Arabidopsis thaliana: one gene and its partners. The protein of the gene in region 1 interacts with the protein of each later gene in a pairwise test. Each region holds a gene or a part of one and is shown in the gene's direction. Other genes may lie near its edges. The genes, in order: YUC5, AT1G68680 and AT4G30240.

Evidence for each region.
Region 2: the proteins of YUC5 (region 1) and AT1G68680 interact in a protein complementation assay, tested with the Arabidopsis thaliana proteins (one large-scale study listed by BioGRID).
Region 3: the proteins of YUC5 (region 1) and AT4G30240 interact in a protein complementation assay, tested with the Arabidopsis thaliana proteins (one large-scale study listed by BioGRID).

What each region holds. Positions count from the first base shown.
Region 1 is NC_003076.8:17,647,979-17,652,064, reverse strand, and holds YUC5 (Flavin-binding monooxygenase family protein), read left to right. Parts: upstream 1-1,689; 5' UTR 1,690-1,933; coding exon 1,934-3,208; 3' UTR 3,209-3,489; downstream 3,490-4,086.
Region 2 is NC_003070.9:25,783,810-25,787,968, forward strand, and holds AT1G68680 (SH3/FCH domain protein), read left to right. Parts: upstream 1-1,696; 5' UTR 1,697-1,817; coding exon 1,818-2,014; intron 2,015-2,782; coding exon 2,783-2,813; 3' UTR 2,814-3,533; downstream 3,534-4,159. Other genes in the region: AT1G68670 (myb-like transcription factor family protein), read left to right, coding at 1-64.
Region 3 is NC_003075.7:14,807,267-14,811,692, reverse strand, and holds AT4G30240 (Syntaxin/t-SNARE family protein), read left to right. Parts: upstream 1-1,617; 5' UTR 1,618-1,947; coding exon 1,948-2,030; intron 2,031-2,237; coding exon 2,238-2,352; intron 2,353-2,452; coding exon 2,453-3,037; intron 3,038-3,112; coding exon 3,113-3,212; intron 3,213-3,314; coding exon 3,315-3,334; 3' UTR 3,335-3,371; intron 3,372-3,457; 3' UTR 3,458-3,804; downstream 3,805-4,426. Other genes in the region: AT4G30250 (P-loop containing nucleoside triphosphate hydrolases superfamily protein), read left to right, coding at 1-431.

The sequences.
Region 1 (4,086 bases):
TTGTAATATAAATAACAACTTTTCCATTTAGAGTTCATATTATAAAAAGCGCTTTGTAATGGAACATTCGTCGAAAGTAATATAAAGCGAATAACACCATAAAGGACAAAAAAATCCTATTAAAAGACGATAATAAACAAACTTACAATAAATGGACCTAAACAAAAAAACTGTATTATTAGCAAAATTGCAAATTGATTTGACGTAGTTACTGGTTAAGCAGTCAGCAGTCGGCAGACGAGTTGAAGTGGGCCAAAATTGAGCCCCCACTCTGGGCTCACCATCCTATCCACGTGGTTGCATACTTGTCAGCACACATTGCCACGAGATTATCAAACTGAACAAAACTTACCTACCGAGTAATTTTATCCGAAAATGTTAACTAATGAAGCTACTCGTTTAGGAACATTTTGAAAATGTTGTTCATTCGGTTTCAAAAGGAGATAATCTTGTCTCCAAAAGACAAATGAAGAGATCACAATTAATAGAAAACGAATAACGAGTTAGACCGGAAAATAGTTTATCAATCACGATCAGATCCGTTTCAGACAAATAAATCGACGAATTCTTTTACAGTTCTTAAAGGCTTGAATGCTTGATTAATGTTTGATGTGTAACGATTTACAACCACGCACATATAGGTACTGCATGCCAATCATCTACTAAATATACATGAAAATCTACTAAAACTTAATTAATACCATGCGAGAAAAATATTACATACGTTAAATGCTTATGCAAATATTTTCATCACCGACGCAACCATTCTTACTCCAAACCAATTATCGATGGACCAAAACATGTAAATGCATCACCTAGATTATCAAACCCCTAAATGGTGAACTTGAACGAGATAAACTCTAGAATACAACATAAACTTGGTTAATTTGAATTTAAAGTTAACAAAAAAAAAATTGTAAACAAATTTATAATTATAGGTTTACTCTAAATAGCTCAAAAAATAATAATTAAGCCTAAAATTGGCTTTTGATCTAGTTTATAACATACCTACTAAAATTTCATCTGATTTTCTGTTTATCCTACGAGAGTGCCAGTTTTTGTTTTATGCTATAATGATAACGTCAAAGTATCCACCAAAAGAACACCATAGTACTTGTATTTCTATTGATTTTATTTTTTGTTCCCTACTATTAACACTTGTAAAAATATGTCTATATATCTATATGACAAGTAGTTTTCCCAATCCAGTTATATTCTCCAAAAGCCATCTCTACAAGCTCATGGGTGAATTTGGATGATGTACATATCATTATCATTTGGACCATATGATCAGAAGAATTTGGATGATATGAATATCATTATGATTGGTCCATTGTGCCCAGTTGATTACCCTTTCACATCTTTAAATTTTGAAACTATATCTTTGTAATATTCAAAGCTATTTAATCAGTAAGTACAATCTCAATATATACCATAAAGCAATTATATTATAATCATCACCAACTAATTAATACTATTAAAACGGACTCTAATCAAAGTCCCATCAGAGACTTTGGAAGAAAAGAATCGAATGATTCCATAAGGAAAAAAGCTTTAAAATAACTTAAACTATTTCGCATTTTTAGCTAAAGCATATGATTAAATGGGAAACCTAAATAAATTATTACACACACTTATTGAAGAACTTTTGCATTTATTAAATTGATTAAAAATTAGCCTTAGAACGCGCTAATCACAAGATCACATGCAAGTTCCTCTTACTTCGTCCACTATATAAACACATCCACCATTACTTCTTCCTCCAAACACATTCCAAAGCATCTCATTCCTCTATCAACAAACAAACAAAAAAAAAGCTTATTCAATTTCACTACCTATTCTTTTGATTCGATCAAAATCATCTTCTAAAGATACCTAAACTATTCCATTTTCACTACTTGTAATCTTGATTCGATCAAACTCACCCCTAAAGATGGAGAACATGTTTAGGCTCATGGGAAGTGAAGATTCCTCCGACAGAAGACGGTGCATTTGGGTTAACGGTCCTGTAATCGTCGGAGCCGGGCCATCGGGGCTAGCCACGGCAGCCTGCCTCCGCGAGGAAGGTGTTCCCTTTGTGGTATTGGAGAGAGCAGATTGCATAGCTTCACTATGGCAAAAACGAACTTACGATAGAATCAAACTTCATTTACCAAAGAAAGTTTGTCAATTACCCAAAATGCCCTTCCCGGAAGACTACCCGGAATATCCAACAAAACGACAGTTCATCGAGTACCTTGAGTCCTACGCAAACAAATTCGAAATTACTCCTCAGTTCAACGAGTGTGTCCAGTCTGCTCGATACGACGAGACAAGTGGTCTCTGGCGCATCAAGACAACATCTTCCTCTTCCTCGGGGTCGGAGATGGAATATATCTGCCGGTGGTTAGTGGTGGCGACGGGAGAAAACGCGGAGAAAGTTGTTCCAGAGATCGATGGGCTCACAACGGAGTTTGAAGGCGAGGTGATCCACTCGTGTGAGTACAAATCCGGCGAGAAATACAGAGGAAAGAGTGTTCTTGTCGTCGGATGTGGAAACTCCGGCATGGAAGTCTCTCTTGATCTCGCAAATCACAATGCTAATGCATCCATGGTTGTTCGTAGCTCGGTTCATGTGTTACCAAGAGAGATTTTAGGCAAATCTAGTTTTGAAATCTCCATGATGTTGATGAAGTGGTTTCCTCTGTGGCTAGTAGACAAGATTCTACTGATTCTTGCATGGCTGATTTTAGGAAATTTGACAAAGTATGGCCTAAAGAGGCCCACGATGGGCCCAATGGAGCTCAAGATTGTTTCAGGTAAGACTCCAGTTCTAGACATCGGAGCTATGGAGAAAATCAAATCCGGTGAAGTAGAAATCGTCCCGGGAATTAAACGGTTCTCTCGTAGTCACGTGGAGCTAGTAGACGGTCAGAGATTAGATCTCGATGCGGTGGTTCTGGCCACGGGTTACCGTAGCAACGTCCCATCATGGCTCCAAGAAAATGATCTGTTTTCGAAAAACGGGTTCCCGAAATCGCCGTTTCCAAACGCGTGGAAAGGGAAATCGGGACTTTACGCGGCTGGATTCACAAGGAAAGGATTGGCTGGAGCATCAGCAGACGCCGTTAACATCGCTCAAGATATTGGAAACGTGTGGAGAGAAGAAACCAAACGACAGAAAATGAGAACACGAGTGGGTCACCGCAGATGCATTTCAGTTGCTTAGGGCTCAAGTTAGGGCTCATACCATTATTTATTTTATTTTACCAAAGAGTGTTTATTCATTATTTCATTTTTTTTTGTAAACAAAGTATAAAGATACAAAGAGAGCCCTCTCCTGAAGACCCAACGGTGTTGTTTTTGAAGGCTGATTGGGCGTTTTGTATAACTTAGGATGACGTGGCATTTCTCTTCATTATTATTTTCTCTTCTGTTTTTCACTTTTTTAAAAAATCTATGTAATAATAAAAGATTCATACTCATAATTAAATGTCCTTTTCTTTTTAACATCTTCGACTAATCAAATTAAATTTCCTTTATTTGAGTTTTTTTCCTGCAAAATAAGTATTTTTTGGGGTAAAATACGACATGTAAGTCGTAACATGAATATTAAGTGAATATAGAAAGAAATTCTGAGACCTTAATCAAACTTGACGAGATCTCAAAGGCCCAAATATTTGGCCCACTTAAAAAGCTAAACTATGTAAGCCTTTTTAATCAACGTTGTAATGAAATTCAACGTTGTAATGAAATTCTTAACCAAATTATATTAGTAAGATTTCGTTTTGTTTATGTAGTTGACAAAAAAAAAAGAGATTTCGATTTTTGTTTTTACAATTCCTGCAAATGATAAGATAATTCCATCAGAAAAAATAGAAAACTTACATTATCCTTTTAACAAAATAAAAGGAAACATACTTTATCAAGAAAAAAAAGGAAACATAAAAGGCTATATAAGTAGACCCTATAACACTATTGAATCCCTCAGTTTTCACAAATCCTCGGTTTAGTAGTAACAAAACCTTTACTATTAGAAAAAGAGAGAGACAGAAGAAAAAGATTAACATATTTCAGTTTTAGAAGAAGAAGATGACGTTGGAAAGC
Region 2 (4,159 bases), on another chromosome or scaffold:
AAGTTGCAACTCGCCGGCGGCATCTTCCTCTACAAATACAAATACTTCTACTCCTGTGTCATAATCTGATAGTCATACTATAATCATCTCCTGATGTTGATTTTGGTGTAGGTTTGAAAATGTTTATGTGAATGTAAGAAATATTTTCGTCCGTTTTTGTTTGTAACCAAGAAATGTTATTTCCTCGGTTGGAAATTTTGAATAAAGTAGACGAATGCTACTATGTAGTATATACACGAGATAAGTGAAGACTCTTTGTTTTTCTAACTTTGGATATTTACTAAAATATCTTCTTGTTTTTGGTGTCTAATTTAGACAGATCTTCGTGATGAATCTGATGGCAAAGGTTATAATTCATCACCTTCGTAAATAGTAAAATACAAAGGTAGATAAGAGAATCTAAGATGAATTGAGAATAACGTGCGTGAATGGTGATGTAGATATTTGGTGTGACAATTAGAAGTGATTTATTTATGGTAACGCTTGCTTAAAACAAAGGTCCATGAATCGACCAACTAACCATTCACAGAATTGAATACCAAATCTATCTTTTTGCATGGCAATTTATTAAAATAAATCTAACGTGGCCGCCTCTGAATCTTGCTTAATAGAATAGTAACCACTAACCATAATCAAATCATTAATTTAGATTTTTTATTTTTTGTCGGCCAATTTAGATTATAGTATCTTTTTTTTTTTCCTTCACATATCTTACGGTAATTGACTCGAACCGGAATTTCTTTAGAAAATTCAAAACCAGTTTAATAATCGGGTTCATGGAGAATAAAAAGGTCATGTTCTGATTTTTATAATAAGTCCTTGTTGACTAAGTCCTTGTTGAATAAGTCTTCCTAGATTATAGGAAAGTGGACGATTAAATTTGTATTATGTTTTGATTTTATATGTTATAGAATTTCAGGTCGATAAAAATTGTGACATTTGCATTGTGTCTAGGGTCTTTCGGGTTTTTTTTTTTTTTTTTTTTAACTTGATTTGTAGGGAGGATAATCTTGGGTCTATACAAGCAAGACGAATTCTTACGTAATTTTGTTTCTTTGTTTTGAATAAAACTGGATAAATCGTGACTAGGGGCTGGAGATCAATAAATCGTGACTTCCCTCCAACTGATACGGATTCTACAACTATTTGAATTTTATAAGGAATTTCAATAACTTGTTCACTTTTTAAATATACAATAGTTTTGTACAACTAGTAAAAAATATTCATATTTCCATTATAATCATTTATCATTCCATTCTGCTTTTTTTTTTGGGTTCTCAATTCTGCCATTCCACCATGTTTCTTATCGGAATCTAAATAATTAATGCATTAAGTAGTTGAAGATGATAAATTTATTTGTTTCCAACCATTTTGATGGTTAACTTAAAAAACATAAAATTTTAGGTTTGGTGGAAAAAAGAAAGGGACACTTGGCCTTACGACAAAGCGAAGGGTCACATGTTAATACAACAATTTCAGGATATTCGAATCTCTAATATTGGAATCCCTAATACATGGCTCACTCTCTTTGATTCAAACATAAACTGCACTCGTTTATTTAATCTTTGTTTGACAGCTAAAAAGATTTTTATTTTCGGGTTGATAAACCTATAACTCCTCCAACGGACAAAATTTACTAGATAGATCTATAACTTTTCGTGGGCTATATATAACTTCTCGTGGGCTTCGAGGCCCAAAAATGTTTAAAAGTGTTGAAAACCAAGACAAAAAAAAATGGAGTGAAAAAGATGAAATCCCTAAATTGAATCGCAAATCGCAATTTGAAAAAAAAAAGATCTCTCTCTGAAGAATCCGTCATGGCGTCGTCAAGCGATCCTTCAAAACCAGTAATGGAGAGGAAGAAGAAAGGAGCTCCGATCAAATTCTTAGTACCTCTCATCTACGCACCTGCGCTTCCTTTGATTCGGTTGTCTTTAAGGCATAAGCCAGTTCTAAGAGATCGTCTCTTCGGTCTTGTCCTCGTCGGTGCTTTTGCTCATGGCTTCTATCTTGTGTATCCTCTTTATGATTGCTTTGGTGCTTTCTTATGTGATTTAGTGAAACTTGCATTTATGTATTGTATATGGAATATGCATGTTTGGGTTTTAGGGGAATTATTTTGATTTGCAGTGAAGATTTGTGTTTTGATATTGTAGATTGTTAGTATGTACAGAGAGCTAGGAAGTATTTGCTGTTGAAATTGCGCATAGAGTTAAAGGTATGTGTAAGGAAGTGAATCCTGACTAGTTTCGTCAGTCATGTTGAGGATTTGTTAGGCATAGTTAAGCATATGGACTTAAGGCAGTTAATCTTGACTTGTATCATCTAATCACTGGAAGTCATATATGGTTATGTGGTTTGACAATTTACATTTCTAGAATTGAGACTATAAACCATCTATGTATACCAAACTGAGGAGTTGAAGAAAGTTTGCTTGTAGTTGTTGATTCAGGTAGTTTAGATTTCTATAAAAGTCATGTGCGGTGTAGAGATTTACTCATGATGGTTTTGCAGTAAATTGTAATAGTTTGGTAGCTTAGAGAACCTCAAGATTACTGTTGGTAGTGAGAGCAAATATTCAACATTTCAGCGATTGTTGTTAAGAATAGTTTGAGCTGATGATGTTTCCTAATGTTGTTAAGCTTCGATTTGACATAAGTAGAGTCTACTACTATGTGGATTTGGAGAGTAGGAACATTCATTTGCTACTCTGTGGAATATTTTGATAATCTCTATGGAATGTGTTATTTTGTTTTGATTGTTCCTTATAGATAAATCACAGAACGGATATATATGATGCAGAGAGCAAATGAAAAACTGGGAGTTGCAGTCAGTCAACAAGATCTCAATATTTTCTCAGATTGTCTTTCAGATAAATAATTTTTGCCTTTTGGGTTTAAACCTATTTGACACATGAACTATGGATTTTTCCTTATGAACCCATTTAGTCATCTTGTAATGTATCATCTTTTTTACATTTTTCAATCTCGTTCTTGATTTTTCCATGTCTTGAATGTGAAAACTAGAGTGGAGAGCAAAATTAGTTTGCGTAATATGCATCGACATGAACACATGTTTATGATATGGGCAAGGATCATATATTTATTATACTGCTAATATATAATAAAATAGAGTCAATATAGCAACAGATTCTGGTAACATCTAAGTGGAGACAGCATTAGAGGTGGCAGGTTGTTTGCGAGTTACACCTCTTGTGCAATGATGATGGATCGAACAAGTGCGTTCTTTCATTATAAATTATATTTGTTTTTAACGTCAAGATCCTTACTTAGCTCTCACACCACATGTCCAAGTAAAAAGAACATTTAAATATTTTCCCTCTTCTTTAATTTTTTGACTTGTTCACAAGTAATGATGGAGTAATGGCACGTGGTGAGATAAGAGTGTGAGTGTGTAAATAAAAAACCAAAAAAAAAGTGGCATAGACAAGAAGTAGTTGGAATGTCTTGGGATCACGGATTAGTGAATGTTCTTTTGGGGGTTTAAGGTATTGACGGCGACACGTATTTCATGTTACTCTCCTCAAGTGTCTCTCCCTTTCACCGTAGGCCGTAGCATTTTCCTTTTCTTTGTGAAACTTTTTGCATTTATGATGGATATTTGGGACCGAAATCCATAGGAATACTAGTTTTTAAACAAGACACAAAAGAGAAAGAAAACAAAAAACTCAAAATACTAGCCAAAACAAAGGATAAACAAGACTTGGAAGAGAGTTAAAGAAAAACGATATTCTTTAGTGAACACCATTACTACGACTCAACCATCGGGTGAATCTCCGAAATTCCCACTTGAATTATGTGGCAAATCCTTCTATTCAAATTTTTATTATTTGTTGGTTAACCACGTGTTTTCTATTATCTAACACACTATCCAACCTGAAATATTATTCCTCATTTTTCTAACCAAAATATTTGACCGTTTCAACACTAACTTGGCTAATCTCATTTCTGTTTTCCAAATTGATTTGTAGTGTTCGTTTTCGTAAAGATTAGCGTAAAGACATCCGATGATGACATATGTGCTCTCATCACAATATTTAATGTACTCCCTTTTTATTATATAGTTTTGTCCTTCGGATTGTCATGTGCTACAAAATGAAAGAGCTACTAATATTTTGGATTTATCAAAATTGGGGAAA
Region 3 (4,426 bases), on another chromosome or scaffold:
CTGCTCTGATGAGAAGTGGGAGGATGGATATGCATGTTCACATGGGTTTTTGTAAGTTTCCGGCTTTGAAGATTCTGTTGAAGAATTATCTGAGGCTTGAGGAAGAAGATATGGATAGTGTTGTTTTGAAGGAGATGGAAGAATGTGTGGAGGAAGCAGAGATTACTCCGGCTGATGTTAGTGAAGTGTTGATTAGGAATAGGAGTGATGCGGAGAAGGCGGTGAGGGAGATTGTGAGTGTGTTGAAGGAGAGAGTTGTGAAGAGAAGGAAGAGTGTTGGATTGAAGAAGAAGAAACAGGAAGGTCAAGAAGAAGAAGAAGAAGCAGAGGAAGAACAAGAGAAGAGAGCTTTGGATAGTCCTAATAGAAGAAACAGAGAGGTTTGTGGGTTTCGAGAGGAGGAAGAAGAAGAAGATGAGAAGGAGAAGTGAATGATAAGAGACTGTTTATCCTAGGATCATCATCTAATGGTGGTTCTTGTGTGTTTTTAATTATCCGTTTTGTTTAGTCAAAATTATTATAATATATGATTAGTTACCATATAATATAACGTTATCCATTTTGGTTTACTCTTAAGTCAAAAGTAGGCACTGTCCAAAGTTAACCTTCTGAGATTTGCTACATGAGAGTTGAGACTAAACTGGCTTTTGTATCTACTAATGCTGCAGAAATTGCCACTTTGTTGTTGTATATGTTGTCTCAAATTTTCGTGTCGGTTACGTTTGTTTTGAAGAGATAAAAGAGAATTGGCGTTTGGACTTTGGGTGTTGTAAATTGGTTAGTGTCACACCCTTTTTTATACAGGTTATATGTGAAACCTGTAAATTTCAAAATTTATAGTTCAAGAAAACAATTTACTCGAGAAGTGACATTTAAAGAATCATCACATCAAACACTTGACTTCAAACTAGAAGTGACCTGAAAAATCCATCCGTTCTTTTTTTTTTTCTAAATATAATATTGACCGCTGATTTTTGACATATTGTAGTAGTGAAGCCCAATCCTACCCAAAGAGATTTGCATCAGAAAAAAGTTGTTTTATATTATGGGCCCAATCTTTTTGATCAAAAAAAATATATATATATATTATGGGCCCAATCTCTAGAATCTACCACCGGTTAATGTCTAAATAAGAACAAAAACAGGTCTTGGTAACTAATTAAAACTGAAAACACCAAAATCAAGGTTGGGATTTGTTGAAGAAGGTGGTATTTCACCATATCACAACAACTAATTAATTAAATTTATTTAACAAAACATGTCTCTCCAAAACTGAAAACACCAAAACATGTTTTCATTTTATGAATTTCAATTTAACTAGTTAAAATTTTGATATCACATGCGCTACACATGCCACCTCAATTTGTCCTGCTCCTACTGTCTATTACTAAACTAAAAGTTAAAATTAGCGTTGAGTTTTTATTGAATTTATTTACTCATTAGCATTTGACTTGTATAGAGAGTATTAAAATAAAGAATAATAATAATAATATAATGCGGTTGGCGAACAATTGATGTTGCGGCAAACCGGTAGGCCCAACAACAACACGGACATTCTTGATGTTTTTCTTTGACAAGCGGTAATCTCCTGCAGCTAAGACCATCTTACTTTAAATTATTTCCCAATTACAATAAAACACGTGTGAAATATGGTCAATTTAGTTCAGAGAGGCCTCTTTATTAAAATCTTCCATTAACGTTTAAAGTGAAGAAAGCAAAGAAATATCGAAGAATTTAAGGAATAAAAAATAAAAACAGAAAGCTGGAGGAAGAAAAAATAAAAATTCCTTCTTTCCTCCTGAAGGCAAAAAAGGAAGAGAAGAGAAGAGAAGAGAAGGAAGCAGAATCTAATTTTGGATTATAATCGGAGAGAGAATCTATTCCGACGAATCTTTTCGGGTTGATTTTTTGGTCTTTAATTTGAAGGGTTTAGGTGTGGTTTCGAAGATGATGGTAGCGAATAGTTTCGATCTATGGCAAAAGGATGTTTTTTTCTCTGCAGCTGAGGAGGTTCAAGAATCTGCTGATATGTATGTGTTTTTTGATTCTCTGTTTGTTTAATTGACTCATGTTGCTTGTGATGGTGGAATTCGGAATTTCAATTGAAAAATAGGGTATTTCGATTGTTTAGGGGACTAATTGGCTCTAGAATGGTCTAAGTGAGAACCTTTGTGTTTTGTGAAGGAATTGAGTTATCAAATTTGAAATTTTGTTTCTTATTTGTGTTGTATTTCCAGAATGGAATCTGCGTATAGGTTGTGGTTTAAAGAGAAGAGAGACGGTCGAGTATCCGTAGAATCAGACGAGCTCTGCAAAGAACTCCAAGCTGCTTTGAGCACTGCTAAATGGCAGGTATGAAACAATCAATGGTCCTTTGATCATTCCCTTTTTTTTTCATGGTTACTCATGAGTGTGTTAGTGATATTGGTTATATTGTTGTGACTTGAATCAGTTGGAAGAGTTTGAGAGGGCAGTGAGCTTAAGCCATGGAAATTGTCGAGATGACACTACCTTAACTAGGCATAAACAGTTTGTTACCGCTATTGAAAACCAGATTTATCAAGTGGAATCTACTCTGCTAGAGTCGTTAAGCGAGAATGGGAAACAACCTTTGCGTTGGGTGGATCTTAACAAAGAAGAGCGTGATGATCTCGCCATGTTTCTATCTGGATCTTCTCAGACGTCAGAGAGTTTAAACAGTGATAGCATCAACTTGAGAGATTCCTCAACGAGTTCTGTAGCTGAGAATCCACGTGGGATCAATGGCAGAAGAGAGGGTAGATGTTATGGCGACAGTCCTGATTGTGTGATAGACATTGACGACATAGGAAGTCCGGAAAGTGCAGATAAAAAAGGCGGTACAAGAAGAACATGGAGTTCACCAAATGTACCAAATATCAGTGCGTTGAGGATTAATGTCCCTGTTAATGCAAAAGAAGAAGAGAGGGAGAAGTTCCTATCACATATTGAAGACACTCCTAAAGAGAAAGGAGCTAAACCTATGTTTTGGCTGCAGAGATGTCGTGATTATAACCAGGTAAGCTTCTGCAGTTTGGATCATCTCTACACTATTAGAAAGGATCATAAGTCTTAGTTGTTTATCATTTTGCAGCTCTTTGACAGAGTCAAGGTTTATCAAAGACGATTTCGCGTTCCATTGAGCCGCCCTATTAAGCTCATTCTTTCCTTAACGCTAATCTTGATTCTTCTATGTGAGTCCTTCTCTTGGTTCTCATGAGTTATGTCACACCACTGTTCCATGACAGTCTCTACTCTCTATAACTGAATCAAATTCCTTGTTTATACCCTTGCAGTATTCATCTTGAGAACTTAAAACCGCGGTTTCAGAAACTCTCAAGAAACATTGACAGGTAAATGATATTTTAGATTCTAAATCAGAACTCCAAGTTTTCTAAAACAATCTTTAAACATTACATCCTTTTCGTGTATCTTGCAGGTTTTTTCACAGATTCTTGCGTATTGGGTTACACACTCGTTAGATGCTACATGATTCAACATCCTTCGAGGGAAGGAGGAGAGATTAAAAGACTTTGTCAAGATTCAAATGAAGGACAAAGCCTGATTTATTACTCTCTCTTAATCCTCAGGGAACATATAGGAACCTGTAAATTTGTAAGATCAATTTGTAAAACTTGAAGCTACGACGTTTCGTTAAACTTTAGACGTGTACCTAAAGGAAACCAATGCGTGTTTGTGCTCAATGATATCTCCAGTGTTTGTTTGTCTCTCAGATATTTGTTTTGGAACAAAACATTCTTTGTCCTCTTTCACTTACTTGGCAAGTCATTTGTTCCAATCATTGTCTTACTTTCTTTTAAAATGCGCATTATAGTTGACGTCTCAATTTCTTTCATCACTAATAGTGTCACAGCCCAAAAGTACCAATTTAGGTCAATTCTAAGCTAAGTAAAAAATCTTAATATTAGGTCGTATCATATAGACATATGATAATGGTGAAAAAGATTTATGAAGAAAGAAAAATGTCTAATAATTTTCGAATCTAGAAGTCTCTGGACAAAAGAAAGGTGCATGTCACAGTCTCTCAAGATGGAATTTGATCATACCATTTATCAACCATGAACTTCGAAGCACAGATAAATGCTAAAAAATGATACAACTTCCTGTCTAAATCATTAAAAATCGACTAGTCCCATTGGGAAAAGTAAGGTAATAAATTTTTCTCATATCCTTCTCGTGCTTCTTTTGATCATCATTCATTCCTCACCTAACCAATTCAATTTCAAAAACAATTTTATTAAAATATATATTGAAATATTCTAAATGAGCTGAAATACAAAATAACGAAAAAATCAAAGAAAAAGAAAAAGGTGTGAATAAGATGTGTTATGGTCCAAACTATTATCGATTCACCAAATAAATTACAATTTCGACATTCTTTCACAAA